Linked DNA regions of Pelodiscus sinensis. The protein of the gene in region 1 interacts with the protein of each later gene in a biochemical or structural test. Links are inferred from orthologs where the notes say so. Each region holds a gene or a part of one and is shown on either strand. Other genes may lie near its edges. The genes, in order: ERBB3, ZAP70, tyrosine-protein kinase TXK and NRG2.

Region 1 (7,861 bases):
TGAGGAACCGTTCCCGGGAGGCCCGGAAGGACCGTACCCCTCCGCCCAGGTTCAGGCCTGCTGTACGTATCACTGCACGAGCCCCTCCCATACCCCGACTCCTGCCAACATCCGCCCCCCCCCGGCTTTCCCCACACTTCCTTCACGCCCATGACGGTCTTTCCACCCACTGATCTGCCTGGCAATGTCAGGTACCAGCCTAATCAGAGCTGCCCAGCAAAACCTTGCAGCACAGAGCTAGGAGCTGGAACCGGCTTACCTGGGGCCAGCGATTATCTTCAGAGAAGTCCCAGCCGCTTGGGACGCTGTTGACTGTATGGGGAGGAGAGTCCTGCTCCGAAGCGGGTGGGTCAGTCGGACCACGGGATTGGTCCTGTGGGTAACAGCCATAGGTCCTTATCACAGCGACATGGCCTGGAAGGGAGGTTAAACAGCTTGTTTTAGCTGCTCTCTGAGCTCTTGCATGGGAGGCCAGTGATCTCACGTCTGCGGGATTCCTCCACTTTCCTCTGGAGCCTCTGGTTTTGGCCACCATCAGAGATTTGCCAGGCTGATAGGTCAGATCGCTGAGCCTCTATCAGCTGAACATCCCCTAACTCTCTTCTTTCTGTCTCCTCTAGGGCGCTGCCCCGAGACCACCCCCCAAGCCTATGTAAGGCAGAGCTGCTGGAAATGTGCATCTTGAGACATTGCCTCAATAAATGACTTTACATCTAGTGGGTGCGTGCGAGTCTGTGGGGGGAGAGAAAGGGCACCAGATTCTTCCACTTGCTGGGAGCTTGTGGCAAGACAGTGTTACTGTGGGAGGAAGAAGCGGAGCATTAGATGCTCTCCGGGGTGGCAGGAGTCTCTCCATAGCTCACTGGCTGTGTCCCCAAAGTGTGGGGCAGAGGCGCCTGCACTCCTAGCCACAGTTAGATGCAACTCAGCAGATAGAACAGAAAATATTAGTCCACAAGGACACACCATAGAACAGACTTGTCAGCACAGGAACCAGAAGCAGCCGGTACCATCCGTCTTGGGCGGTGGAGGGGGGAGAGGAGGCCCGGAGCCAGGGCTGTGGCCCTCCTGCCTCCCAAGCCATCTGCTGCTGACTTGCTCCCAGGTCCTGGTCCCAGGCTGCTCCTCCAGCCTTTGTCCTGCTTCCCTGGCAAAAGGTATCACCTGGTACCCCCTCTGGTTCAAGTCACAGAGGGCATTAGCCTTTGGGGAGGGGGCGAGGGAGGCTGGGGCAGTCTCCCTCCATGGAAGTCACTCTTGAAATTCCCATCACTATCTAGGACAGGGCTACTCAACTTTGGAAGCCCTGGGGGCCACAATGATACAACACACGCAGCAACGTAAGAGTGGTTGCCTATACATGCAAATATATTCAAATAGCTTTCACACTGCCAGGCAAGACTACACAACATGCAGGCCCCATTTATGTCAGTTCTGATATTAAAATGCGATATTTACCCGATTTCCACCCCTATGACCACTTTTAATGAGCCATGACAGTCCAGGAATTTACTAAAATGCATATCGACAAAAGACCATTATATTGATTTGCCATTGTGGAGTGTGTTCCCAGTGGAGCCATGTTCAAAGGATCCCCGCTGTGGGCCCTGTATAAACCTGATGGCTGCGTCTAGCTGGCAAGTTTTTCTGCAAAAGCAGCTGCTTTTATGGAAAAACTTGCTGGCTGTCTACACTGGCTGCCTGAATTTCCGCAAGAACACTGACGATCTCATGTAAGATTGTGTGTTCTTGCGGAAATGCTACGCTGCTCCCGTTTGGGCAAAAGCCCTCTTGTGCAAATGCTTTGCGGAAGAGGGCCAGTGTAGACAACGCGGTATTTTGTGCAAAAAAGCCCTGATGGTGATTGGGGCTTTCTTGCGCAAAGCCACGTCTAGATTGGCACGGACGCTTTTCCACAAAAAGTGCTTTTGCAGAAAAGTGTCCGTGCCAATCTAGACACTCTTTCCCGCAAATGCTTTTAACGGAAAAACTTTTCCGTTAAAAGTATTTGTGGAAAACCATGCCAATCTGGACGTAGCCAAATTGTATTGTGGGCCATAAGCAGGCTGTGGGCCACAGGCAGCCCGTGGGCTGTGTGTTGAGTAGCCCTGAGCTAGGGATTAGTACAGTGCTCAGGGAAACTGAGGCATGCAGTTACTGTAGGACAGAACTCTGCTGCATCCTGTTGGGGGGCTCAATGCATGCCAGGGGCTGGCCCTGCCTGGGATCATGGCAATTGGTGGATGGGCCTCACAGCATAAAATGAACCCTTTGGGCTGGCAGGGGGGCCCAAAGGCCCATCTGTGGCAGACTGGGGGGTGGAGGGTGTATTGCAGAGTGTGGCTGTTGCGGGACGACTTGGGGAGGCCTTGTCAGGGTTGTTGGTTGCTAAATAATCAACGCTGCAGAAACCGCACAAGCTGGGCAACCGGTCCTGTCCCTTAGCTGTTGGCACGTGCAGGGAGCGTGTCTCCCATGGGCTGTGCATGGGTATCCAGCGGGAGCCAGGGTTCCTCCAGCTTGGCACTTAGAGCCCTGTGTGTAGGTGCAAGAGGACTTGCCCAGCTCGTGTGCCATCTAGCAGCATGGTCTGCTCCTGGAGTGAGCTTGGCTAAGTGGTGCTATTGCACTGAGTGGGTTCAAGTGGAGCAAAGCAGGCCTAGCTCAGCCCAAGTGGGCCCCTGTTCTCGCTAAGGACAGGGTCTGGCTGCTTGCCCTACCAGCCTGGCCTCCCATAGCTGTCTGCAGCCTAGGCCCAGAAGTGTTGGGTGTCTGGAGAACATGCCCAGCCGGGATGCAGGCAGGATGGGAGCAGACTCCTGTGCTCCAGTTCATCTTTGGGCGGGGCCCCCTTTGCACCAGCCCTGAGGGCAATGTGGGGGGGGGGGCAATGTGGGGGGGGCTGTCTGAAGAGCTCTGCCAGGCTGATGCCCCGTTTCCTGGGAGAATTGCTGGGGACCCAGCAAGGAACTGGAGGTTGCGGGGAGATGATGTGACATCCTAGTGGCCTGCGTCTTTGTCAGCAGCCAGAGCTTAGGCCTAAAGAGAAAGTCCCTGAAATGGCCACCGGGGGGCGCCCTAGAGCTGGAACAGGTGCAGGCTCAGCTCCAAATCCTGATCAACCAGGCTGGTAATTTTAGGGGCGTGTTTGGGGTCCTGTCTCCTGGAGGCTCCAGCAGCTTTGGGAAAGGAGAGAGCCACCCTAGAGGCCTGAAAAAGAAAAGGTTTGGGTCTGTTTACTGCTGCCCTGGCCAAGAGGACACAGGGACTGAAAATGATAGCAGAGAAGGGCTGTCGGGAACCTTTGTTTACTTTCTCTCGTGACCTAGGGACAAAAGGCAACAAAGTGTGTGATTGGCCTGTGGAACTCTCTGCCACAACAACTCACCGGGGCCAAGAATTCACCTGGGGCCAATGACTGACTACATGAGTCTCTGATTAAAAAGGGGTAAAAATAACCAGGTGTGTTTCCACTGTCCCTAACTCCCTATGGCAAAGAGTGAAGTGGTGTGGGGGGGGGGGGCTACAAGGCCCTATTGCTCAGGGATTCCTGGGGCTTTTCACCTCTAAGTCCCTACTTGAACATGAAGGAGATTAGAAAATGGTCCCCGAAAATGGCCGATATTGGCCCATATGAAAAGAAGCGGTTGGGCTGAAACCAGTTCTTCATATTAGGTGCATTATGGTAACAGCTCTTGGTGCCCGACTCACTAACCCACCCCTCGCTGTGCTGGGTTCTGCAGGCTGTTTAATAGGTCTATTATGGTCGCAGCTAGCCCTGCTCTGCCCCCCGCAATCTAGCCACAGACCAGGGCTGCCAGTCACGGGACTTCGTGCTGTATAAACACAAAGATGGGCCCTGCCCCCTAAGACTTCCTGGGCTGGGTGCCAAGGACTGAATGGGGCAAGTCGCCACTCTCCGGAGGGGATGTTGGTAATGTGGGGGGGGGCTGCCTGAAGAGCTCTGCCAGGCTGCTGAGCTGGCTCCATGCCCGCCATGGGGCTGGTGCGGAGTTGCCGGCGCCCACCAGGAGTGCGTCATGCTGCTGACGACCCAGCTCCCCTCCCGCCTCCATCTCTGAGCTCATTTCCTCTCAGGCCTGCGCCTGACTGCGGCCATTGTTCCCCCCACCCACTCTGGAATCTGTAACGTGCCCCCCCCCAGCTGTCCACAATGCCCGTGCGCCCAGCTGTAGACGTGCGCCCAGCTGTAGATGTGCAGTGCTCTGCAGCTGATGATGGGCGGGAGCAGAAGTTTTGGACTGGCCAAGCGACCAGGGACAGGTGCAGAGCAGAGCTTGGGGGTGGCATGTGCCAACTGCAGAAACAAAACGCGGGTGGGAAGCCGAGGCGAGGCCCGCTAAGGAGTGCAGGGGCAAGATAGGGGCATGGGCCCGTGGTTGGCCCCCAGGCTCGTAGCTGGGGTACGTGAGTTCTAATTCTGATGCTCCCTTGTGATGCCCCCCCTCCACCGCTGTGTCTGCCTCCCCCGCCAAAGGGTATAGGGTTATTTCCCCACTTGGACACCTGGGTTCATTTCCTGTCTCTGCCCCCGGGGCCAGATCCTCACGGGAGTTGGAGATTTCAATGCCAGGTAGGCCCCGCACTGTCTGGTAGGAGCTGAGGGACGCAGGGCGGGATCTCTTCTCTGACCCATGCCTGGGGCATTGTAAGCTGCCTGGGGCAGAGACCCAGTGGCTGGTGCAGCCGGAACCTGCCCGACGATCAGCGACTGGCTGAGCCCTGCCCAGCCCAGGGGGCGAGGGGTGGGGGCACAAGGGGGCTCAGACCCAGTCCCCCGCCACCCCTCAGCTGGTCCGTCTCTGATTGGCTGGGGCGGGCAGCCAATGAGCGGCCGGCGCAGCTACTCCTGAATGAAGAGTGTGTGTGTTTGTACCCGCTCCAGCAGCTGCGGGTGTCCCGAGCGCGGATCAAAGCGGCTGCCCGGGCAGGCGACACGGGAGCGGGGCTGCCGACGCGGACCGAGGCACCGGCCGCCAGAGGCGCCGCCTGGCCCGGCCCAGCCCCTCTCCCTGCCCCAGCGGGGATCAGGTGGCGGCTGCCTCTGCCCGGCATGTCCTAGCCCGTCCGGGCTGCCTGCCCCGGCTGAGAAATGCGGAGGATCCTGCTCCCGGCGGGGTTCCCCTGCTGGCTCGTGGTCCTGTTCTGGCGCCCGGAGCTCGTGGCCTCCCAGGCGGGTAAGTCAAGGCAGGAGCGAGCTTCGGAGTCGCTCCGGAGCCGGGCACAGCGGGGGGGTGTTTGTATCCCGGGTGTCACTCGCGCTTCAGGCTCCGCTTTTGAACCTGCTCTACCGAGGGGCAGAGCCCCAAGAGGGCCCCCCCGAACCCCCCCAAAATCGTAATTCCCCCTCATGCCCCTTTGGGCGACCGTCCCTGCCCCCACCCCACAGGCACCAGAACTACCCCTCCCCCCCCACCTGCTCCGGGGCAGAGTTTAGCGCTGGGTGTTTTGCAGGGGTCTGGGGAGCGCAGGGCGGGACAGGGGGTCTCACAGGCCCCGGGCCGGGCAGCCCCCCAGCGGGTGTGGATCTGGCCCAGAGGTTACTCCCGGGAAGCAGGGGGCTGGACTCTGCACTGGTACCGGAGGTTACAGGCACCGTGGGCAAGTGCCTTGCAGAGGTCAGGCCCGGAGGTCGTGGCCTAGGGAGCCGATGGGAGGGGACCTGCCGACGAGCTGCAGCAGGGTGTGACCAGCCCCCCCGAGTCACTAGCCACTTTTACCCAGGACTGGCCTTGGTCTGACCTCCCCCCCCCCCCCCCGCATGAACCCTTCCTGGAGTGAATTTCTTGGGTCTCTGAGCTCATGGCAGTATCAGGGCCCCAAGTCTCAAAGGGATTCAGGTGCCTGCTCCTAGGGGAGTCAGGTGCGGGACTAACCGCAGGGTGCCGGGGCGGGACTGTACTGGTTACGGCTTTGGAAGAGAATCATCAGCCTCGCGCTTGCGGCGCCTCTGCCTTCAGCTGCCGGGGTGGCTCTTTGTGACTTTGATTTCTGGGGGTTGCGGGAAGGAGGCTGATCTGCCAGGTGCCACGTCAAGCCCCTGGCCTGACCATCATGTCTGTGCTGGTATGGCCCTGCCTCAGGGTCAGGGCCCGGAGGATCCCCCCCCCTCCGCATTTCTTTCCCCCCCAACAAAGATCACAGCCCCTATGGGTTTAAGCAGGAGAAATTAACGAGACACGGGAGCATGCGGGAGAGCCTCGGGTTTCTTTCCCGAGAGGCCGAGTCGGAATGTGCACCCGGCTGCGGGAAAGCGAGATGCTTGCAGATAAGGCCGGGCAGGGAGGGCCAAGTCTGGGGCTGTTTGGTATCTTGCTTTACAAGTTCTAGGTCTCTCCGCGGGGCCTCTCTCTTGAGTACACTTGATGAACAGGCTTTGGCAAGTTAAGGCACTTGGAATTAAAGGTGCTATTTGAACGGCCAACGTTTCCTGGCGCCCGGCCATCCGCCCGCTCCCTGGGCACCTGTTGCGTGTGTTTGTGGGGCGGGAAGGCCGTTTCGCTGGTGGGTGGGGCACTTTCAAAACTCTTCCGTGGGCTGGTGAAATCAGCAACAAAACAACTGGGCGGGCCTAGGGTGCAAAGAGCAGTGGGTTTATTCCCAGCTGAGCCGTGCATATGGCCAGCGGGAACAATTCACTCTGAGAGTGACGCTGGGACCTAGCGCTTTGCCACCCTCTCAAAAGAGCCCCCATCTTACCCGGCTTCTCTGCCACGCCGGCAATGATGCCTCACCCACGCGCCCAATGACGTCCTGTGACAGAGGGGGTGGGTAGGGTGGGCATATTGTTCCCCTCCTCCGGCTCCGTGCCTCAGTTTCCCCACATGACAGGGGGAGGAGCGCTGATTCTCTCTTGCAGGGCTGATTGGTTCGTGCTGAAGGGGGCTCAGATCCTTGGATGGCAACACCAGGGCAAACTATTGGGGTGAAGATTATAATGGGTCTCGTCCACCCTGCCAGCTCATGGTCCCGGGAGCCAGCCTGGGCTCTGATCTGGCTGCTAGGGACCAGTCTGGGGGATGGTTTCCAGCCCCTGCAGTTGGTTCCCTGTGTATGGAGGGGAAGAAGCAGCATCCCCCCATGTATGGAAGTGAGTTGCTGGGTCAGACTCCCTGCCCTGAGCTCTTGGTCACAGTGGCCTGCCAGGTCTGCCGACCTGGTTCTCTTACCATCCTGGGGGCAGCTCCCAGCGAGCCATATGGAGGCCTTAGAAGACGTAGGGAGCTGCCTCCGTTGCTGTGATGCCCTGGCCTTGCGCCCCACGGCAGGCGCAGGTTGGCTGGATTGTTCTGAACTGAATCTTTCCTGTAGAGCCCCCATAGCCGGTTTTGGGGGCTCTCTAAGCATGCGGGTCTGAGCGGCTCTAGGGCAGGGGGGCGGTGCAAAGCCACCTGAAAGCAACACGCCATGGGGACCTCCTGGCAGGCACTGGGCTGCTCGGAGGGGGGGAAAGGGCAGCGTTTCCGGGGGGGGGGGGGGGGAGGGACTGAAAGTAACGCCGGGCTGCTGCATGTAAGAGCGTATCATCCCCAGCCAGCTGGCTCAGTTTCTTAATGAGCCTCTGGCTGAGTCATCACCCAACCAAGGTGGTGTCCTGCCTTGCAAGCAGAGCACCTGGCTTCCGCTGCCAGCCCTGGGCGGGGCACAGGGCCTAGTGATGAGAGCTGGGACTCAAGGTTCTACTCCCAGGTCTGGCTTTCGCTGTATGGCTTTAGGCAACCCCCTGCCTCAGTTTCCCACTAGCCTGTCAGTGGAAGGACTCCTGAGGAGGAGTGTTCTCCAGGAGGGGGTCTGACATTCTAATGGGGAACATTGTCCACGGCAGGGACCCAGGAGTCCT
Region 2 (6,914 bases), about 22 Mb from region 1:
CAGAGGCTCCAAGATCGATTGGTAAATCCCGATCGACTGGTTGGTGACCACTGGCCTACAGGCTACATAAGAAGCACTCTCCAAGCTAGCACGAATGAAAATTTCATACAGAGCATGACTTTTTTACACTCTAAAGGCTACGTCTACACTGGCCCCTTTTCCGGAAGGGGCATGTTAATTTCAGCGATCGTAATAGGGAAATGCGCGGGGGATTTAAATATCCCCCGCGGCATTTAAATAAAAATGTCCGCCGCTTTTTTCCGGCTTTTAGAAAAGCCGGAAAAGAGTGTCTACACTGGCCCCGATCCTCCGGAAAAAGCGCTCTTTTCCGGAGGATCTTATTCCTACTTCAAAGTGGAATAAGATCCTCCGGAAAAGGGCGCTTTTTCCGGAGGATCGGGGCCAGTGTAGACGCTCTTTTCCGGCTTTTCTAAAAGCCGGAAAAAAGCGGTGGACATTTTTATTTAAATGCCGCGGGGGATATTTAAATCCCCCACGCATTTCCCTATTACGATCGCTGAAATTAACATGCCCCTTCCGGAAAAGGGGCCAGTGTAGACATAGCCTAAGGGTATGTCTACACTTGCAGCCTATTTCGGAATAGAGCTGCAAATGTAGGCATTCGGAATTGCAAATCGAGCCATGGGATTTAAATATCCCATGGCTGATTTGCATCTTTCCGTCTGGGCACCATTTTTTGAAATTTACTAGCCTGGAATAGCTGCCCGCGTCTACACGCGGCAGTGAAACGGGTGTTCGAAATAAAGCCCTAGTTTGAACTACCTGTTATTCCTCCTGCAATGAGGTTTAACAGGTAGTTCAAACTAGGGCTTTATTTCAAACACCCGTTTCACTGCTGCATGTAGACACGGGCAGTTGTTCTGGGCTTGTAAATTTCAAAAACGGCGCCTGGCCGGGAAGATGCAAATCAAGCACAGGATATTTAAATCCCAGGCTTGATTTGCAATTCCGAATACCTACATTTGCAGCCCTATTCCGAAATAGGCTGCAGTGTAGACATCCCCTAACTGAAATGTAAGTACAAAATGTATAGAAGTCCAATTGATTTTTAAAATAATTATATGGTAAAAATAAAGAAGTGAGCAATGTTTCAGTAACAGCATGCTGTGGCACATTTGCATTTTTATGTGTGATGTTGTAAGCAAGTAGTTCTGAAGTGAGGTGTAACGGGGGAGGTATGCAAGACAAATTGGACTCCTACGTGGGGTACTGTAGCCTGCAAAGGTTGAGAGCCCTTGTCCTCTACTACCATGATATTTCCCTGGCTTCCCATTTAGGCTTCCCGTTAGCTTAAGTGCAATTTGGCTTGGAAGCGGAGAGATCTGGGGTAGGACGTTCCGAGTGGGGAGGGCATGCAGCGTGGCTGTCCTGTGTGCAACGTTAAACCGTTAATATAGATGAGTGGGAACAATCTCATACTGCTGCAGAATGAAACGTAAGACAAGAAATCCCAGATTGGAAGCTGTCAATAGAACCCCGTGAGGGGAAGGGGAACAACATTCAGGGGCAATCGGTTCATCAGATGCTTTATCTTCTATTTCACCTTTCGCTCGGCCGAGGATCTGAAAACACGTTACAAACCTCTCTGGGCACGTCTAAACAGCAGGGCTAAAGCTGGAATCAGCCACAAAACTTCAGCTAAGTCCAAATAGCTCATTTCGGCTTTTGGTGCTGTCTACAGAGCAGGAAGTCCGAGTTAGCGCCCTCTTCTGCCAACTTCCCTTCCTCCTCGCACAGTGAGGGTTACGGGAGTCGGAGTGAGAAGTCGTCCAGCTCGACATCATGTCGAAATAACGGCTTGCGGTGCAGACGCGGACTCTGGTATTTTGGAATAATGCTGCTGTGTAGACGTAGCCTCAGTGGATTAACCCTCCGACTGCTATGCCTTGATGTTTCCCACACCTGCACCAAGGGACGGCCCGAGGTATTCTGGCACCCCGGGCATGGGCGCACGGCGCTGCCCCTGGGGCTCACAGCGTATGCGCGAGCTCGCCCTTGGGGAGCGGGCCCACCTCCCTAGGTAGCGCAGGCTCACCCCCTGGGGCGCACGGCGCATGCGTGGCCTGGTTACAGCTGCTGACGTGCAGCCCGGGCCTGTCCCTGGGGCCCATGGCACATGCGCGGCCCGGCTACACCCGCTGGTGCACAGCCCAGGGCCTGCCCCTAGGGTGCACAGTGCAAGCGCGGCCCAGTCTGGCCCAGTTGTTGCTGCTGGCGCATGCACTGGGCCATGTAGGGCCCTGCGGCCATAGAGGGGAAGAGCGTTGCTGGCCGGCACCGCGGAGATGTGGGCGGGCCATCACTGCGGGAGTTGGGCGCGCGGGACGCCGCACGCCCCTTACAGCTGCCATCAGGCACCCCCCATCGGTTGGCGCCCTGGGCAGCTGCGCGGCTCGCCCATGCCTCCATCCAGCCCTGCCTGCACCCTGTCTTCACAGGGGACACCCCCCAGAATCACCCTCCAAATCTAGCTGGGATCCAGCTTGCACCTGTCTGAGAAGGGCAGGGAGGTTGTGATACCTCCCTCCAGGTTCAGTGAATCTCAACCCCTGCCCTTTAAACAGGCAGAAACCACACCCGGGAGGAGGCCGACCACGCTGGTGCCAGGAAGGCCCAGGCAGGTTTGCACACGGAGGGAGGGACTATGTGACCACTGCCCTCTTGTGAGAGCCATTCAGAGCTGTGCTTCCCTCTAGGGCGGGGGGGGGGGGCAATAATTTTTGACAGGGGGCCCTCCAAGAATGTGGACAGTGGCCGAGGGCTGCACCCTTCCATGATATGAATGGAGGAGGTGCGGGGTCTGGGATGGAGGTCGGGTGCAGAAGGGAGCTTGGGGTAAGGGAGGGAGTTTGGGTGAAGGGGGCAGTTGTGGCCTGGGGCACTGGACTGGGGGACTGGGGGCTGGATTGTGACCTAGGGCAGGGAATTGGGGTACAGGAGGGGATGCAGGGAGTTGGGTTGTGAGCTAGGGACTGTGATCTGGAGCAGGGGATATGAGTGCAGGAGGGGGGCAGAGGATTTGGGTATGTGGAGTAGAGGCCAGGAGTGGGGGGCTGGGGGTTGGGGAAGGGAGGGCCTGGGGTGCCAGAGGCAGAGTCTGGCCACGAGACTTACCAGCCAGCAGCCCATTCCTGAAATCAGCCTCCCTGCCAGCCAGTGTTCCCTCTAATCTGCGGGAGCAGCCCAGCTTCATGGGTGATTCATCAGCCTCCCCCAGTTAGCCCTGAGCCTCTGGCTGGGCAGGGCTGATTAATCCCCTCTGAAGCAGTTTAGAGGGACCACTGCCACCTGCCCCGCCCCCACAGGCTGCAGCCATGTGCTCTGGAGCCCCTTGTGCTTCGTGGCTGCCTGTTATTGAAACAGGCCACTCCCCTTGGCTGGTTTCTGGCCAGACACCGGATAATGGCATTGTGCTGGGGATGGTAGCAGCTGCTAAAGCTTCCCCCTCCCCTCCAGACTCTCAGTTTTTAAAGAAAAACCGCCCAGAGCGGCGGTTTGGAGCGCGTGCGGGTGGGGCGAGGCAAGCAGGAGCCTGCCTGGGGCAGAGTCCATGGGCTGGATCCGATGGCGGGGCAGGCCGGATCTGGCCTACAGGCTGTATTGTGCCCAGGCAGCTCTAATGGCAGGAGGCCGAGGAAGCGGACGGACTCCAACATCCGCGTGCAGCTCATGGCGTGTCTCCCGAGGTGCACTGGACCAAAAGCCAAGGCCCCACTCCCCCAGCCCTGCACTTGCTTAGGAGAACCGAGTTTCTTTACCTCCCTCATTTGAGGTTGTCCCACCGCCCAACAGGCAGCTATGCAACCAGATCAGGCGGGTTCTGAGAACTTTTGCCCCCTTCAGAGCTGCAGAGTTTTTCTCTCGTCTTTGCTTTCCTGTCTTTGCAACAAGGAAATAGGTCACATTTCAAACAGCCCGTACGCGGGGGTTTGTCAATGTCAGTCAGCACAGGGGACAGGACGTGGCCCGTTTCCCTCCTGCTCGCTTCCAAAAGCGCCACGGCACATGCATGCCCGGGAATATCGGTCCCTCTCACCATGCCTTTGATGTAAGGGACCAGCCGAGCCCTTCGCCCCGTCTGCAAGCCCAGGTAAGCTGCCGTGCGGGACTCGCTCGGTCCTTCATGCCGCTGCTGGCGTCCCTTCTCTTCTTCTTTCTATGCATCCTGAGCGCGCCGGGGGCCTGCTGATGGCCACAGCGCAAGGCCTGAGTCTAAATCCAGTTGTGGGCCCAGTTTTGCCCAGGGTTACTCTGGATTTCATGAGCGGAACGGAAGACCAGAGCAGAAGAAAGCTGGGGGCAGTTAGACTCATGATGGTGGTTAAATGGTCTGACATCCTGTTCGCCAGGGCGGCTCAAACTTTTCCACCCCCGGAGCCACCTCCAGAACCTCTCTCCCAGCACCCGTGGCCAGGGGGGATGTAGCCAGCACCCCTGGCCCCTGTTAGCCACATGGGAAGGAGAGCGTGGTTAAGCTTCCCTGACATTTACGAACCCCGTCAAGTACAGAGCGGATCAGGGCCAAGTCTCAGCGCCCAAGACGCCCCACAAGACAGGCTGTTGGCAAATTTTCACCATTCCCCTTTGTTCCTTTGTCATCCATGTCATCTTGCCCTGCACTTGTCTGGCAAACACGGGCACCACTGCAAAGCCCTGTCAGTCTGGGCATGGTCCGGGGGGCTATAGAACAAAGTGGAGCAAAGGAAATTGGAGCCTTTTTTAATGGCCAGATCTGTCAGAGGGTGGACAAAGCCCCCGAGGGAGGCTCTGGAGACCCCACCGCGTGGGTCAGCTGTAAGCAGATCAGGACAAAGAACGGGAGAGAAGCGCAGAGGGAAGGGCTCTGTCTTGGCCGGGAGCAGGGGTTAGGTGAGCTCGAATATTTGCCACCTCTGCCTGATTTGTGTGTGTTGTCAGTTCAGTCGCCTTTCTCCCCCGGGGGAGGCTCCTCTGTGGCCCACTGGCATTGTGTTCATGCTTTGGCCTCGCAAGTGAGCAATCCGGAACGTCGGAGCAAACAGGCTCGAAGCCGCGGTCGAGTTCCGTCTTAGCGTGTCCAGCCGATGGGCTTGGCTTTTTCAGGACCTTGGGACCCTATAGGCTGCCTCTCTCCGCTGCTGCCTCTGCGCACCAATGGAACGGGCCTGGGACCTGTTACGAGCAGTTGGCCCACTGGGGAGTTAGCCTGGAAACTGGATGTGCCTGGGACACAGGTTAAGAGTCATGAGACTGAGGGATTTGGGCTTGTTCAGTCTGCAGAAGAGAAGAGTGAGGGGGGATTTGAGAGCAGCCTGCAGCTCCCTGAAGGGGGGGTCCAAAGCGGATGGAGAGAGGCTGGTCTCAGTGGGGGCAGGTGGCAGAAGAAGGAGCAATGGGCTCAAGGTGCAGTGGGGGGGGGGCTAGATTGGATATTAGGAAAAACTATTTCCCTGGGAGGGGGGGAATCTCTGTCCCTAGGGGTGTTTAAGTCCCGGCTGGACACAGCCCTGGCCGGGCTGATGGAGTTGGGGCTGGTCCTGCTTGGGGTCTCTGCCTGCCCTGGGGCTCTAGGTCAGGCTTTGCGCTGGGTACGCCAGGCAGCCCTCGGGCAGCCAAGGTCTGGAAAGGTCGACTTGGCTCCAGCAGGGCAACAAATCTCTTAGCAAGGGCCCCCCGAGCCGGGCCAGTCGCGCAGGAAGCGGAGAGCCCAAGGCCTGGCCAGGCCCTGGAGCCAGAACCATTTTGCACCTCGGAGGGCAGAGCTGAGCCGTTTCCTGGGGAGAGAGGAGGGACGCTGGGACTTGCTGCTGCCCCGCCGGGTGAAGCCCTATGGCAGCGAGGGGCAGGGCAGCGGCCAGAGTCGGTGAGGCGGGTGCGGAATCACCGACGGGGGAGTGCCGCTGCTAACCCCGCTGCCCTCACGGAGCGCGAGCCAGACTGCGACCCGCGGCCCGTCCAGCGACCTCGGCGGCACGTCGCTTTGTTCCCCGGGTGCCCGTCTCCCCCGTTCCTCATGGCTCCTTCGTTCATTTGCAGGCTCTGGTCAAGCTCCCGTTTGACAGGGTCTAGACGTACCAAGCGGGCAGGGTAACCTCACGGCCTAAGGGCAGCGCTGCAGAGTTCTGAAGATGGGGGGACGGGAGGGGTTTGTAACAGAGCAAAAGGCCACGGCGGCTCCGTGGAACGCTCTCGCTCGTGGCCTGTCAGTGGCAGGGTGTGTTTAGACCAGACTCTGCTGCACGGCGCTTGGGGCTTCGGGCTTCGCTGCTGCCCGATGGCGCACGCCCAGGTCCAAGCGAGGTCAGTCTGGAACGCAAGCGGGAGGGGGGCGGGGTGAACGAGGTTCACGTGGCGTCTTCTCCCAGCAGGAGAAAAGGGGATCGAGCGGCTCCCTCGGAAGGACAGCTCCTAGGGGAGGGAGGGCCAGTGGTTAGAGCAGCAGCCTGGGTTTCAGGAAGCCAAGGTCCAATTCCCTGCTCTGCCCTGAGCGGCCCGAGGCACAGTAGGAGAGAACAGCCCTGCATTGCCCTCCAGGGCTGCTGAGAGAGCTCGGGAGGTGCTTGGCTCCTCCAGCGACGGGGCCGGCTACATGCCCGAGAGACGTCTGCCTTGGCCAGCACAACGGGCCTTTCACCGCGCAGTGCGTGGAACCCGGGCGCCCGCGCAGCCATGGCGCCTCCTGCTGGTCACGCTGGGAATTGGCACCCTCAGCGCTGGAGCGCCCCTCCGGCCGGGTTCTGCCACCTGACAGTAGGAGCCGCATCCCTCCCAGACCACGGCGCCCCCCCTCGGGGCACTGACCCCCCCCAGAGTCACCCCGCAGGGACCCCCTATCCCCCTGTCACCGAGGGGTGGGGAGTCCCCGGGCCCTGCCCCCCCAGCCGCGGCCAGATGGGGCTCTCAGGTTTCTTAGT
Region 3 (7,918 bases), on another chromosome or scaffold:
TGATGAATTTCAAAGGAGGAACCAATGGAAAAAGACAAAAGGACAGGGTGACATGAAGTGATCCAATGGGGAATAAGATTGTTTTAGTGGCCATGATTTGCATGGAGGATGAATAGTTAGGTATCTGAGTGATCACGTATGAGCACTTTGAAAGATACCCAGAGGTAGTTATACAGATAAGGAAATACAATTAAAAAGGCGAGGAGAAAAAAATAACATGCAGCTATTAACAGAGAGCAGTGAAAACATGTCAGTAATGGTACCAATGAGAACAGAGAGAAACATAGGAAGTAATTATAAATAGGAACAGAATTAAATGTTGTAATGTAAAAGATATGATGCTCCACAAAGAGGGGTTAAAGGCATTAGAGCCCTATGTTTGGATCTTCTATATCAACTGATCACACACATTCTTGAAATCACCCCACAATGAGAATAGAAGACTTTCTCTTTCATTGACTATGGGCCAAATTGTGCTCTCACTGAAATCCATGAGAATTTTGCCATTGATTTCAGTGTGAGCAGGACTAGGCGCTGTGATCTGGTAATTTTTAATATTACTCTTATGACTTTCTGAGCTATTTCTCTCTCTCAACTTTTCGGCTACGTCTACACTGGCATAATTTTCCGGAAATGCTTTTAATGGAAAAGTTTTCTGTTAAAAGCATTTTCAGAAAAGCGCGTCTAGATTGGCAGGGCGCTTTTCCGGAAAAGCACTTTTTGCAGAAAAGCGTCCGTGGCCAATATAGACGCGCTTTTCCGCAAAAAAGCCCCGATTGCCATTTTTGCGATCCGGGCTTTTTTGCGGAAAACAGTACTGTGCTGTCTACACTGGCCCTTTTGCGCAAAAGTCTTTCGGAAAAAGACTTTTGCCCGAACGGAAGCAGCATAGTATTTCCGGAAAATCACTGGCGATCTTACATGAGATCGTCAGTGCTTTTCCGGAAATTCAAGCGGCCAGTGTAGACAGCTGGCAAGTTTTTCCGGAAAAGCAGCTGATTTTCCAGAAAAACTTGCCCGTCTAGACACAGCCTTGATGTTTATTTCTTAGGGGAAAAGATTTCTTTATAGTTGATCTAGAGCAGGGATAAGAAAAGACCACAGGGGAAACATCTATAAAATCAGCAGTGTGTCAGTGCAAGGAATTAAACAACAACAGGCAGCTAGTAAAAATTGCAAAATCCAAATACAAAAAGCCTCAAAGCAAAATTAGTTGAATTAGAATGCCTCACAACAGAAGAGGATTTGGTGTAACAGGCATTACAGAAACATAGTAGAATGACAAAAATCAATGGAATTTTGTAGTACCTGGCCACAAACTATATAGAAAGATAGACAAGGCTGAAGTGGCGAGGGAGTAGTGCTGAATGCAAAATATTCCATGGAATCCAGTGAGAGGACCATGCAATTGAATCTATGGATATAAATCCCAAGCTGTAAGAATACCAATATATTAGTCTGCCTATACAAACAATCTCGGGATCAAGAAAAGAATATTGGGTGTATAATGCTGGAGAAGATCAGAGGCAGCAAAACTGAACAAAATGCTTTTCAATATCAATGAGCAAAAGGTATTTTAAAAAGTCATTAAGCATTCTTCAAGCACATCCGAGTCAAGAATCGTAATAGAGTTAGTCGATTTGCTGGACATAAAATAATTCATAGAAAAGTTAGGTCAAGGTCTTTTATTTTTGCTGTCTAATAATAAAAGAACATGGGGCTAACAAATTTCAGAAGAGATGTTAAACTTTATGGCTCAGAGTTCAGGAAAATCTCTGAGAGTACATTTACACTACTGGACAAAGTCATAGAATCGGAAGGGACCCCAAGAGGTCATTGAGTCCAGTTCCCTGCTCTCATGGCAGGACCAAGCACTGTCTAGATCATCCTTGCATGTGTTTGTCTAACCTGCTCTTAAATATCTCCAGTAATGGAGATTCCACAACCCCTGTAGGCAATTTATTCCAGTGCTTAACCACCCTGACAGGAAGTTTTTCCTAATATCCAACCTAAACCTCCCTTGCTGCAGTTTAAGCCCATTGATTCTTGTCCTATCATCAGAGGCCAAAGAGAACGATTTTTCTCCCTCCTCCTTGTGACACCCCTTTAGATACTAGAAAACAGCTATCTTGTCCCCTCAGTCTTCTCTTGTTTAAACTAAACAAGCCCAATTCTTTCAGTTTTCCCTCATTGTTCATGTTTTCTAGACCTTTAATCATTTTTGTTGCTCTTCTCTGAACCTTCTCCAATTTCTGCACATCTTTCTTGAAATGTAGTGCCCAGAATTGGACACAAACACCAATTGAAGTCTAATCAATGCAGAGTAGAGCAGAAGAATGATTTCTCATGTCTTGCTCACAACATTCCTGTTAATTAAGTCAAATTAAGATTCTCAACTTCTTAGTATTAAGATACTACGTTAATTGCATAGCTGAAGTCAAAGTACCTTATCTCGGCTTTTGGCGCTATCTACACTACGGGAAGTCAAAGGGAGACCACTCTCCTGTTGATTTCCCTTACTCCTTGTGAAAGCAGGACTACCAGCAACGACTGGAGCGCCCCTCTCAGTTCGAATTAGCTGTCTTAACTAGACCCACTAAATCAAACCCTGGAAGATCCACAGTGGCCACTTCAATCTTCCTCTATAGTGTAGATGTACTCTAAGGGGTTATGAGGAGATATAATGTCAGGGGAGGAGCAAATTATCACTTTCACTTAATGAGAAGGCTCTGGCACCTTCCTCTGAAGCATCTAGTGCAAGAGTACTGTCAAGTATAGGCCACTAGCTTAAATGGATCTTGAGTCTAATTCAATATGGTAATTCCTATGCTCCTTCCACCTCAAAATCTATTAAGAAAAATCACACTGTGTAGCATTTTCAGCAATGTGTGAGGTTCTGAATACATTTTAGATTAATAGGAAATAATATAGTACACAACCTCATTTCATGACTAGCAATACTTTGGGTTAAGAGAAATTTACCTGTCATGTTTCTTTCCAATGCCTCTAACCTACTTAAATGTAACAGCATATTTTTCTTTACATCCACATTTTCCCTTATATTTTATTTTGTGCACATTATTGCCTTAGCAAAATAAACTCTTTCTGATGTGATTTTAGTACAACTGAAGTATTTTAATTCATAGAAACCTGAGGGACGGCCCACATTTGAAGATTTGCTGCGTACAATTGATGAGATAGCGGAGAGTGAAGATGCTTTCTGAAGAGAGGAACAGAGGCACAAGAATTCTACAGTACAACAAAGAATAAACGTTGTAAAGACACAGAATTATTCTTTGAGCATCATCGTGCAAGATTTTGAGTATGCTGAATGAAATGTGGCGAGCCTAAGCATTATCATTTAGCATTTTCTCAACAGACACATGGAAAAATGATTATGCATTGTAGAGAAAGATGCACAATATATTCACCAACCTGAGCAATGCATGCAGCCCCCAACTGGGGAAGGTAGCTCCTGCACCCAACCTCTTCTGCCAAAGACCCTGCCCCATCCCTTGCTCTCACTGATTGGCCTGCCAACATAGCTCCACGCCCTGGGTGGTGCCCAGAGCATCCCAAAGCCTGTGCCAGCCTGCAAGTGCCCCTAGCAGCCCCATATCTTGGCCAGCCCACCAGTGCCCCGAGTATTCCTGAGGAGCCCTGAACCTCAGTCAATCTGAGTCCAGACTGCTCAGAAGAGCTTTCAGTCTGATGCAGTCCAACCTTGGGGCTGTGGCAGGAAGCATTGGCAGAGGTTTATGGAGGCTTAGTCTTTCCTATTATCTATTGCCCATGTTAATCAATGTAAGAACACTCCTAAGCTCCATCAGAGGAGTCACCATGAGATTAGTAAAAGGTTGGGATTGATGCATGGAGCAAATGACAGGATATGGCCAAAGCACAAACACTAAGTGCAATCCTGTGCAAGTGATACATTTAGTGTTCATGCTTATGAGTTTCATTTACTCTTACTGCCAGTCAATAGTAGTAATAGTCAATTGTGCATTTAAAAGCTGTGCTTAAAACCTAAAAGCAAGGTCATTTGGTGAGGGCCACCTACTCCTATAGCAATGCTTCCAAAGGTTCTAAATTATTATTTCCTCACAGTCTGTTGACTGGTGATTTATGCCATATACTAGGGCCAATATTCTTGCTATGCTGTTAGTCTATTTTACACACTCCCCTCAATTTACTTTTCTTTGTGCGTAGCAAAGTACCATGGTCAACAGCGTAGACCAATGGCTCAAGTGCAGCACCGAAAGTCCTCTCTGTGGCACTGAAAGTCCTCTCTGTGGGACTGAGTCCTAATTTATTTTATGCCAGGGACTGTTTCTTGGGACTTTTTCACCCAAAGAGCATTGGGGCCCAGTCCTGAGCCCAATTATAGTGATGAACAGCACGAACTATACATCACAGCTGACTTTCAGTGAACTATATCACATTGACTTTAACTATTAAATAATTTATATACTCTTTGTACTATAAATGTATAATGTACACATCTATTTATATGAAATGTAAGTGTTCCTGAAAATGTTAAAACACAAGTTGCTCTATTTTAGGTTACACAAATAGTGTGATATATGGTATCTCTGGATGAAAGAAAATATACCATGAATGTTGATAAAATGACAGATTTCTATCATTCTATCGGTCATCAGTTGTGCACAATGAAATAAGCTTTATAGATTGTATAGCAAATGTCATACTACAGTATGTGTATAATAAACCACATGTTAATTGTTTGGAATCTGGAATAGCAGTTTGCCATTGATTTATTGTCAGAAAATGATTTATTGGCCAAATATATTGCTGGCAGAACTATTGACTTTCATGGATTTACATCAAAGATGTAGGACTGAACATCTTCAGGTATGTGTGTTAAGTGCTTACATTAGGATTCAATGTCAGAGGATGCGTATGTACAATACATACAGCTCTGAGCCACAATATGAAATATCTGACATATTTAGAAATTTTATATGAATAAAAGTGAGGATTACAGTAGATGTCCTGCTGATATGGGATGGAGTTTACCATTGCAGAATGGGTCTGATCACAAAAAATGCTGAGCACTACTTATATAGCATTGAGCTCTCTTAACCCTCACCAAAGGCCCCCATGTGTAAATGAACTATAATATGCATACAAGGTGAGAAATTGATGGGGATTATTAACTAGGACCTAACACGGCAGTCTTTTCTATTGAAATCACTTGGGGTGCATCTAGACCACAGAGTTTTTTTGGGAACTCCGTCCACACTAATCACACTCCGTCCACTCTAATCACAACTCCAGAGTTCCTGTCTCCTTCTAGCTCTTAAAGCTGCAGGCACCCGGGACAAGCCTTGTGGCAGGAAGCCGGCCTTGCAGCAGGACCTTGACTGCATGGCTGTGACTGCCACAGGCCTGCTGACAAGTGGCAGAGCCACAAGCTCCCCGAAACCCACCTGGCCTGCACAAGGAGCCACACCAGAGATCCCAGGACCCACCCGGGGGCACCAAATACCAGGCGCCTTCCTGGACCGGGCCAGAGACCCTGTCCCTCCTGAGCTGTGGGGGGAAGAGGAGGCCCTGAAGGATCTCAGCTCCAAGCACCGCAACGCAGACATTTATGGGTGCATGGCCGAAGGTCTGGCCCACGGGACACCACCCCTGCACCCTTGACCAAGTTTGGAGCAAGGTCAAGGAGCTCCGGCAAGGGTACACCTGGGCCAGAGAACGCAGCACTCTCTCCGGGGCAGGACCACACTCCTGTCCCTACTACGAAGAGCTCCACCAGATATACTGGGTAGTGGGCAAGCCCTTTCCCCACACTTAATAGCCCTCTTGGTGTACTGGGTTTATTAATACAAAACAAACTGTAAATAAAACTCAAAGTTCTCCAAATAAGGTCAATTTATATATTCACACAATCCAAGGTTTCTCTTTCTTCTTCCAGGTGTTCCTGAATGGAGCCTCTGTAGTTCTCCCTGCTTGATCAAAAGACCTCCAGACCTCTCTGCCTGCAGAGTTTTGCAGTTCCCTTTCCTGTTCAGAGAGCTTGCAGACTGACTCAGCTTCCTAAACTGTCCGCCATTCTTCACGGCAACTTCCTACTCCTTTTAAACACAATTACCTGATTCATCTCCAGCACCTCATCCTCTATCAGGGCTGGATAAGCTCCATGCTCTCCAGCCCATGAAGGCAAAACACCCTGTTTCAGGGCTCAGACCTTTCTGATGATGCGTGATAAGGGAGTTGTTATAGTAATACTTTCCTTTTAAAAAACAACCTAGGAAATTGCATACAAAATATCAAGTTTTATATGTAAAGTTGTTTGGATTGCAAAGTCAAGCATGTGAAAGTTGGGAAATGCTAGATTTAGTTAGCACAGAATTACAGTTGTTGGGGAATTTCAGCAAAACAGTGACTTGTCAGATAATGCCAAATCATCAAACCCAAAATGTTTTGTGGAAACATATTGGATTCAATTCACTCTCCATGATCTATAAGGCCTCCAGGAGCCACTGCTCTGAGGTAGCTATGCCATATGGACAGCCTCAAGGTGAGGGAACCCCAGAACTTCCAGGGTTTACAATTTCAGGGCTACCCACCAGGCAGAGTGCCCCCCCCCCCACACACACACACATACTGTCCCACTGCCTAGTGAAGCAGTTGCCCGGGCACTGGACAGCCCTTGAGCCACAGACCTTGGATAAAGGCTCTGGCAGCTGCTGACTCAAATGTACTTTCTTCTTGGAAGTGTTAGGGCCATTCAACACAGAATAGTAGCTGTAAAACTGAGAAGAATCATGACAATTTCATTTAGCATCTGCCATGCTCCTGGAAACATATTTCATATCATCATTCTAGGGTACATTAACAGGCGAGTCACATGTAAGAAATTAGCAGTGGTTCCACTCTACTTGGCAATGGTAATGCCTCTACTATAGTAACATATCTGGTTCTGGATGATACAATTAAAGAAATGTTTGGACAAAGTGAAGAGAGTCCAGGGGAGAGCCAAAATGTGGACAAACGGACTAAAGACTTTTCGAAAATCTAATCTATAAGGAAAGATTACAAAAACTGGGTATGTGTAGTCTTAAGAAAAGGATGAGAGGGAGACGAGACCTGATAACATGTTAAGGAGAAATTACAGAATCCCTGTCTTTGCAGGCTTTTAAGAAGAGAGCAAACAAATGCCTGCCAGAAATCTTCTACCTATATTTAGTCGTGCCTCACTGCAGGGGGTTGAACTAGATGATGTCTCAAGGACTCCTTCCATTTCCATATTTCTGTGATTCAATTCAGAAATACCATGTGTCTATTTTCTAAATGAAAATTATATGGAATTTCCATTTTGGAGGAAATTTTGAAATATCAAAACACCAGAAGCTCTGTATTTTGGTCAGGTTTTTTATAGTTTTTAATTACACGATCACATACATTTTTTCCCATAGGATCCCTGCCAAATTCAATGCAAAGTATGGACACAAAGGAATAGATTCAAGGTTTCACTGGCAACTGTTAATCTGGCATTTCCTAACTTTTGATGTGTGACTTTGCAATTAAAGTTATGTTATTTTAACATACTTTTCAATATGTATTTTTATTGAAGTTCATCTAAAATGTGAAGACTGAATTCCAGTGCTGTCCTCCATCAACACACTCAATTTAAACATAGTCTAGGCTCCAAATTGTTAATTTTGTATTGGGTCATCTTATCATTAGAGTTGGCTGCCGTGTTCAACTTTTGAATAGTCTGAAGAGAAATCTGTAAATGATATTTTATAATTTTCTCTGGAGAAGGTCAATCACTCTTCAGACACTTCTTTCTTACTCTTTTTATTGGTATAACTTAGTTTCACATAACAATAAGCGCAGCACAGAAAATCTGCCTGAATTACACCAAACATCTACTATTCTTTCTAGT
Region 4 (7,926 bases), on another chromosome or scaffold:
TTACAGACAGAGGCCAGTAGGCGTCATCCACAGCCCAAGCACAGCAACCAGCAAGGTACTGACACTACATCCCAGTTATGAAGCCGGGGGCACCTGTTGATCATATGAACACAACGAAGCCACTGCCTGCCCCGAGGAAACAGCAGCAGTAGACACAGAACACGCATGCGGCAGGGGAAAGTGAGAAAGTATCTGACAACTTGGCTTCGGTCCCCAAAACTACCTAACCCTTCTGCAGCAATGACATGCTCAGCAGTCTCTGATCTGTAAGGAGGAATAATTCTGCGGCCCTCGTGTCCTCCCTTCTCGGAGCACTCCCCACAGTACCGTTGTATGATTTGTATTATAGTATCACCGGGAGGACTCCTGGAGTCAGGTGCTGTACGCACAGAGAGAGACAGAGCCCGCGAGATAAGCAGACAAGACACAGGGTTGCGAAGGTGGGAGGGAAGCGCCAGAGAGATTAAGTGATGTGCCCTGGTTGCAGAGTTAGTCAGCAGCAGAAGCTGTAGGAACAGAAATCGTGTCTCCTAGCACTCCATCATGCTGCCTCCGATCGGCTCATATTTCTAAGCAGCCCCGGGACATAGACACTCAGTGATACTAATGCAGGCTAATTCCTGGCCAGCTGATGGCTTGTTACCCCAGCTCCCTTCCTAGCTTTGTTCCTGGTCCCAATTGATTTTAGCCATCCGTGGCTGTAAAAGTCAGATCTTTTACTGGCCCTTCTTCCGTTGAAATCAAAGGGGGGAGCAGTGCCAAGCAGAGAGAGCCTGCAGGATCGGCTGGCTACTGTTGCTTTACGGAGCCTCATACGATATGGGGGTCAATAAGAAAGCAAAAAGCCCAGAAGCACGACATGGACCACACAACAGAAACATTCGGTGTTAATGGGCAGAACAGCTAAGGAGCAGAATGAATCTTGGAGGGAAATAGGTTGCCACTTTTAGTCTTCTTGCTGAATTTGCCATGCTCCTTATATGTTTCTTTTTCTTTAAAAAGCTAAATGCCTGGGGCTAATGGTATGAACCAAGAAACAGGCTAGAATGCTCATTTCTTAAGCATTTGAAGGAAGTTGGCAGAATACTAAGCTGGAAATCAGACAGAGTGTCAAAAGACAGAGGACTGTAATGCTGCCAATTAGCTTTATTTCTGGCCAGCATGATGTGTGGCTGGTTGGTGTAGTAAGAAATCTGCACTGCAGGGTTTAGTCCACACAGAAAAATAGTAGCAATGCTCTGCAGCTTTCTTGGGTGTGTGTGTGTGTGTGTGTTAAATGCTTTATAAATGGTGGTATTCATATTTTCCAGATGGGGAGAATGAGGTTAAGAGACTATCCAAGGTCACTCAGCACACCAGTAGCAGAGCTGACCCCTCCGATCACTAGTCCACCGCCCCCCGCGCTACATCACATTGGTTCCCTGTCTCTGATAATCTCGGGGCTAACGCTCCCTGTCATTCTCTCGCTTTCCTTTCTCGCTGCCAGTTTGGATCTCCCCATCCCTGGCAAACGAGCCAGCAGAGACCTGCCAGTTACACTTCTCAGCAGCGTTCCTGCTCTGTGGGGGCCAAGCGGGTTATGTGCTTGCCTCAGGGCTGCTCCGGTTTGCAAACAGCCATGGAAGAAGACAGTGAGTTCCATGGGGCAATATATGAGCCCCGTGCGCCAGCTCCTGTGGGGGGCGATGCTCCCCTCGTACGGCAGCCAGAATTAGAATCCTCTTCCGCAGCTTTGTAGAGGGCAGAGACTCCCTGGTACTCATTAAGTCTAGCGCCTGCTGGCATCCGCACCCCAGAGCAAGCAATCCAGAGTCCTGCCTCCTGGCACCGTGGGGAAGGACTTGGGGAATTAGGCGCCTGTGGGAATGTCAAAGGCAGAAGAATCTCTGTGTCACTGTAAGCAGCACAAAGCCAGGTCTGAGGGTTTGGCTGCTTTGGGCGAATCAGCAAATGCCCTCTCCTGCCAGCTGTCAGTCACACAAACATTTAATGTGGAGCGGATCCTGACAGTTTGCTTGGTGATTCTCCTCCCCCTAGTTCTATCTAGCAGCAGAGCACAGAATCCTAGAACACAAGAACCAGGAGGGTCCAGTCCCCTGCCCTCAGGTGCCTTACGGCTTCCCACATAGCAGGACCAGGCCAATTTTGAAGGGGCAGTTTCATCTCTAAGGTTGTGTCTTGACTGCAGGGTTTTTTTTCGAAAAAAGTAGCCTTTGTTCGAAAAAACGTCACCTGCGTCTAGACTACAGCCACGTTCTTTCGAAATGAAATCGAAAGAACGCGGCTTTTCTTTCGACAGCGGTACTCCTCATTTCACGGGGAATGATGCCTTTTTTCAAAAGCGCTCTTTCGAAAAAAGGCGGTATGTAGTGCAAACTGTGCTTTTTCGAAAGGGAGTATCCAGACTGCCTGGGTGCTCTCTTTTGAAAAAGCAGCTTGCTTTTTCGAAAGTATGGATTGTAGTCTAGATGCTCTTTTTTGGAAGAAGCTTTTTCGAAAGTATCTTTCAAAAAAGCCTCTTTCGAAAGAAGCTTGCAGTCTAGACGTAGCCTAAGGAGGAGAAGCATCCCCAACAGAGAAGAGCGCTTGAGCTGGTCCTAGAATAGTGATAGAGATGTAGCCGTGTTAGTCTGGTGTAGCTGAAACAAAACACAGGACTATGTAGCACTTTAAAGACTAACAAGATGGTTTATTAGGTGATGACCTTTCGTGGGCCAGACCCACTTCCCCAGATCCTTTGACTTTCCTTCCCGTGCCATAGGAATGTCACCCACAAATCCCAATAGTCGCAGAAAGGGGCTGGAGCATTCCAGGACCAGATCAGATCCCACAAGTGTGTTTCCACAGTGCTCTTTTCCTTCCCCTCGCGCCGTTCAGCCAGTCATCCCGGGTCTGCTGTTTGGTTGGCAAGTCTTATTTTGGTGCCTGCTCAAAACATCAGGAAATGGTGCCAGTTCTTACAATAGGAGGGTATCCTAGGACATAAAGGAGGCCAGCTGGCACAGCCACACAGCAAACGTCACTGGTCGAGGAGAAGCGATCTTGGACGAGATGGTGCAATCCAAACATCGGATGTTCTTTGAAGTGGTGGCCTAAGGCGGAGGACTGGGGGGAGAGGGAACGCATTGACCAGAGGACTGACAACAGTCAGAGGTTCTCAGCCTAGGATCCCCAGGGAGGTCACAGTTAATGTCAGAGGTCAGACCACACTGCCAACTTGGAGGGATGACCACCGCCTAGATGGAAGGGGGAGTCCCAGGCTGGTCCTGCCCTGGAAAAAATCAAGAGCCACTGGGCTAGGTCACCACATCAAACAGTCCAAATGCACAGCCTCCGAGAGTTATTGCTGCTTGTTGACCCGTGTGGTGCAGGCTGGTAAGTCTTAGGGGAGGGCTTAGTGGGCAGATGTCCACACTGCAGGAGCCACCGACATGACTGGCAATCGCTGGCACCTTTATTGGCAGTCTCAGTGCAGAGAGGCTGAAGATTAGAATGGGGCTAGAGCCTGAACCTTTCATCCTCAGATGTGGTCCCTGCAGGGCACGGGAGAAGGGCTGCATCCATCCCCCCTGCCCACGTGGCGACTGTTCTGGGAGTAAAGACACGGCCCCAGTGTCGGGGGAACGTCGCCTGGCGCAAAGGCTGGGATTGTCAAAGACGCCCCAGGGAGCAGTAAGGTGACTAACAGCCAAAGGTGCCACTGAATATTGTATTAGAATTAATTTTATTGACCCCACTCTCGGACTAGGAACCAAACGCCTCAGCTCCCAGGGGTGGGTAAGGGAGATCGAATCCCAGCCTTAAATCACCACGGACAATTAGAAATGGAAAATACATCAGTGGGTTGCCTCTTGGAAGTGAGTAGTAGGCCCGGAATCAGCAAGGAATTTAAGCACCTCGTTAAGCTTGCTTTTAATGAGATTAGTCCTGCTTAAAATTAAGCAGAGGCTTAAGTACCTTGCTGAACTGGGGCCTTACTGCAGGTTTCTCTCAACCTAAAAAAACCTCAGGGTCATGTGGACATAGGGAGGTGTAGGGGAGAAGCAGAAAGCCAAAGAGAAATATGTTACTAAGTATATAGGGTACGTCTACACAGCAAGGCTAAAGTCAGATTAGCGTAGCACGAGTCAAAATAGTTTAACTTGGCATTTGGCGCTGTTTACACAGCAGGAAGTGGAAGGAAGAACAGTCTTCCTTTACTCCTTGTAAAATGAGGGTTACAGGAGTTGGGAGTGAGAAGCCCTTTATTTTGAAATAAAGCCTTGTGGTGTAGACACTCTTTGTAACAGGGCTGTGTGGCTGTACCCTATGATAAATGTGCCTAATAACACAATCCCTTGCTTGAAGTTGAAGAAGAATGACTCAGACAGACGACATGCTTTAAGTATCCCGAGTAGTGGGAGAAGTATGCATTAAAAAACAACCCAAACCCAGATGGCTTCCTACCCGCTGGAGATCTGAGTGGACTCATGCACTATCAAAAGCCAGGGGTAACTCGTGGGAGAAAGGTACATGCATGACACTGATTTCAACTCTGCACGGGAAAGATGGTGGAATACAAGGAATGTCAGTATCACTACTTCCACCTGTTCTGGATAATTCCACCCCCATTCCATTCTGATTTGGAGATACGGATACACGGGCTGACACCCCCTATTGCACCATCCTTACCCATCGCCCCCAGTGATTTGCAATCCCATTCTTGTCTACCCCCCTGGGAGTTTTGCGCTGAATTCTTGCCGGACTTTGCCTGTAGAGCACCGAGCCCTGCCTTTCTCCCTGCCAAGGACACTCCCGGCACAGGAGCCCCGTGCACGTGATTGGGGCTGCCCCCCCCACTGAAGTCAATGGTAGACGGCGGCAAAGCAGGCAGGCCCAGGCCGCGGGATCCCCCCCCCCCTGTGTCATTTTCCACCCCAACGGGCAGCCCCCAGGGGCAGAAGGCGCCTCTGAAAAGCCGCCGCTAATTAACGGCCCGGGAGGCCCGGAGCGATGGTTTTCGAGCGGATTGCGGGGACGTAAAGCGGGGCGCAGCCTCTCCGGAGACGCGGCTTTTCTGGGGTCCCCTCGCCGCCCCCCTTGCTCGGAGCGTGCGTGTCTGAGGGAGGCAGCGGGCCCCCCCTGGAAGGAGCCATTTTCTCCTCCTTCCTTAGGCCAGTTCGCTCCTCTCCAGCCCCAATTCCCAGGTAATCCCGAGCCGAGCCAGCGGCGGGGGAGGGGCTCGGCCGCCCCAGGCGCCCTGCCAGCTCGGAGCCGGGGCCTCTGCAGCGCCGGGGCCCCTGACTTGGCGATTCCGCTGCAGCCGGGTAAGCGGCGCGTCCTGCCCGGCCGGCGTGTGGCTCCGCGGGGCGCGAGGGGATGCGAGCGGAATGCCAAGGGCTGCAGAGAGCGGCTCGGCTCGGCGCGCTCCCCAGCCCGGCCCGCTCGCTCCAATCGGGGGGGGGGGCGCTGCCCATGTAGCCCAGGGCCCCGCCTGCTGCAGCCACCTGCGCCCCGCGTCCTTGCTGCAGGCGGAGGGGCGGGCGGGGCCGCCCGGGCTCCAGGCCTGGCACGGAGGTAGGTGCCTGAGCGCGCCCCACGGGGTTGCCCGGCGCCCCCGCCCCGCGCTGCATCCCCGAGGGGGCGGGGAGTCCTCGGCACCTCCCGCAAGGGCGCGGGCTCCGGCTCTCCCGGTGCGGGGCGGGGAGTCCCGGAGATCCCCCGCGGGGGCGCCGCGCGCCGGATTCCCCGGGATCCCTCCCCAAGGGCGCTCCGGGGGACTCACCTGCCCAGCTGCGGGGCCGGCCCGGCCCGGGGGACAGCGGGGCCGAGGCGCGTCCCCTCCGGGCCCCGGAGCTGCCTCGGGGCCCCGGCCCCCCGCGCGCGCTGCGCCCCGGCGGGGCCGCCCGGGGAGGTGCCGGGCGGGCGGGCGCCGAGCTTACGCCGTTTCCGGTCCTCCAGCGCCTCTGTTTCCCCTGCCGAGGCGGCGGCCCCCCAAATGGCCTGGCCAGAGGCGGCCGCTCCGCTGCTCCGCGCCGCCACTGCAGGAGGCTCCGTGCGCCAGCAGCAGCAGCAGCGCCCGCCCCGCTGCGCCTCCCGAGCCGCCGCAGCCCCGCAGCCCGGACAGCAGCCGGCATGAGGCGCGCCCCGACCCCCGGCTTCTCCATGCTGCTCTTCGGCGTGTCCCTGGCCTGCTACGCCCCCAGCCTCAAATCGGTGCAGGAGCAGGCGTACACCGCGGCCGTGGTGCTGGAGGGCAAGGTGCAGGCGCTGCCCGGCCCGGGCAATGGCACCCGCGAGCCCCCCGCCCCCGCCGGCGCGGTGCTGGTCAAAGTGCTGGACCTGTGGCCCCGCAACAGCGGGGGGCTGCAGCGGGAGCAGCTGATCCGCGTGGGCAGCGCGGCGCCCTGCTTCAAAGTGAAGCGGAACCGGCGCTACATCTTCTTCCTGGAGCCCACGGAGCAGCCCCTGCTCTTCAGCCCGGCCTTCGCCCCCCTGGACACCAGCGGCAAGACCCTCAAGAAGGACGTGGCCAGGATCCTGTGCGCAGACTGCGGTGAGCGCCGGGAGCGGCTGGCGGGAGGGAGGGGGGCTTGGGGTGTGTGTGTGTGTGGGGGGGCGGACGCAGCGGGGGGGCCGGGCAGGGGCGCGCACCGGCAGCCCCCCGTGGGGCACCACGTCGGGCGGCTGGAGCGACGGGCCGTGCGCCACGGGCTCCCGCCGCCAGCAGAAGTTGGGTGTCTTGAGCGTGCGAGTTGTGTCTGCGGGGTCGGGGGTCGGCGCCTGCCCGCCGGCCGCTGGGGACTCGCCGGGGCGGGCAGGGGGGCGACACTGAATTTGGTTGGCGGCTCTGGGACTTGCTCCGGTTTCCAAACTCCTGCTGGCTGCAGGGCGAACTCTGCTCCTGTAAACAGCGCCAGGCGGGCGGCTCCCCGCGACCCCGGCCGTCGGCGTGTGGAGCGCGTCTAGCCCCGTGGGCCGCGCTGCGCTTTCCAAGGCTCCGGAGGGGACCCGAGCCAGGCCTCGGAAGGGGACCATCCCTGGTGGCTTGATCTGTCCTTTCACTGACGAGTCTAATGCAGCCTGGAACAAAATCGCCTCCCGTTGGCGAGGATGATCCGTCCCGGGAACTTATTCCTGCTGGACGTTGTCGGTTGCGTTCTCACACCTCGGGGCAATCCGAATTGACCGCATCCCTCCCCTCTCTGCTAGTCGCAGCGCGAGCGTGCAGGTGATCCGGCAGCTAACGCCCAGGGGTCTGGTGGAATGGGGTAGAGCTCACAACGCAGTCCTCGGTGTCGGAAAGTCAAACAGACACAGGCTGCTTGGATACAGTTTGCAGCTGAATCCAGAGTCAGGTTTGCAATTAGACTCTGCTGCTCCTCCAGACCTGTTCTAGCACCGCAGTAGTTGGGGTCAAGTCTCTTCTAGTTTCTCATATTTCGTGTTTCTTTTTGTTGTGGATTTTCTTTGATGGCCGCAGCCAACCTACTGAATGAAAGACCTTGTCATGTCCGGAGGCTCCAGCTCTATTAACTGTAGCTACTGAATTGTATCTGAGGCATTGCTTTCTTAAAGGAGAAAGCATGTTTACAAATGCAGACAGATGTTTTGTTGACAGGTGCATGGGTTTTGGAAGAGACTCGTTTGCAGGGAGGTGTGACAAGTTTTGAATCAGTCAAAATGGCGTGATAATGTTCTGAATTTTTTTTCTTCCACCATATTTAGTTTTTCTTTGAGTAACAAATGGTGCGATGTCTGTACTGTGTAAAGCCGCATTTCTCAAATTGTGGGTCCCGACCCTCTGGGGGGTCGTGAGCAACTTAGGGGGGGGGGGGGGTTGTGGTGTCACAAAGTTTGAGAACCCCTGGTGTAAGGACTTTTGTTTTCAAGTAAAGATGTCAAATGATTCAACAGGAAAGTGTTGGTTTATGACTGCTTCTTGCC

Evidence for each region.
Region 2: the proteins of ERBB3 (region 1) and ZAP70 form a complex in vitro, tested with the Homo sapiens proteins (2 studies listed by BioGRID and IntAct, with this or other methods). The link is inferred for Pelodiscus sinensis from reciprocal best matches to the Homo sapiens genes ERBB3 and ZAP70.
Region 3: the proteins of ERBB3 (region 1) and tyrosine-protein kinase TXK form a complex in vitro, tested with the Homo sapiens proteins (2 studies listed by BioGRID and IntAct, with this or other methods). The link is inferred for Pelodiscus sinensis from reciprocal best matches to the Homo sapiens genes ERBB3 and TXK.
Region 4: the proteins of ERBB3 (region 1) and NRG2 form a complex in vitro, tested with the Homo sapiens proteins (2 studies listed by BioGRID). The link is inferred for Pelodiscus sinensis from reciprocal best matches to the Homo sapiens genes ERBB3 and NRG2.

The regions. Positions count from the first base shown.
Region 1 is NC_134729.1:4,212,989-4,220,849, reverse strand, and holds the start of ERBB3 (receptor tyrosine-protein kinase erbB-3), read left to right. Parts: upstream 1-4,853; 5' UTR 4,854-5,113; coding exon 5,114-5,198; intron 5,199-7,861. Other genes in the region: RPS26 (small ribosomal subunit protein eS26), read left to right, coding at 1-62, 621-656. UniProt on the Homo sapiens protein: Tyrosine-protein kinase that plays an essential role as cell surface receptor for neuregulins.
Region 2 is NC_134729.1:26,549,153-26,556,066, forward strand, and holds the start of ZAP70 (tyrosine-protein kinase ZAP-70), read left to right. Parts: upstream 1-3,907; 5' UTR 3,908-4,111; intron 4,112-6,914. UniProt on the Homo sapiens protein: Tyrosine kinase that plays an essential role in regulation of the adaptive immune response. Regulates motility, adhesion and cytokine expression of mature T-cells, as well as thymocyte development.
Region 3 is NC_134715.1:87,676,937-87,684,854, forward strand, and holds the start of tyrosine-protein kinase TXK, read left to right. Parts: upstream 1-4,906; 5' UTR 4,907-7,918. Other genes in the region: tyrosine-protein kinase Tec, read left to right, coding at 3,147-3,224. UniProt on the Homo sapiens protein: Non-receptor tyrosine kinase that plays a redundant role with ITK in regulation of the adaptive immune response. Regulates the development, function and differentiation of conventional T-cells and nonconventional NKT-cells.
Region 4 is NC_134727.1:2,334,984-2,342,909, forward strand, and holds the start of NRG2 (pro-neuregulin-2, membrane-bound isoform), read left to right. Parts: upstream 1-4,920; 5' UTR 4,921-5,306; exon of another isoform or gene 5,307-5,556; intron 5,557-5,940; 5' UTR 5,941-6,114; coding exon 6,115-6,535; intron 6,536-7,926. UniProt on the Homo sapiens protein: Direct ligand for ERBB3 and ERBB4 tyrosine kinase receptors. Concomitantly recruits ERBB1 and ERBB2 coreceptors, resulting in ligand-stimulated tyrosine phosphorylation and activation of the ERBB receptors.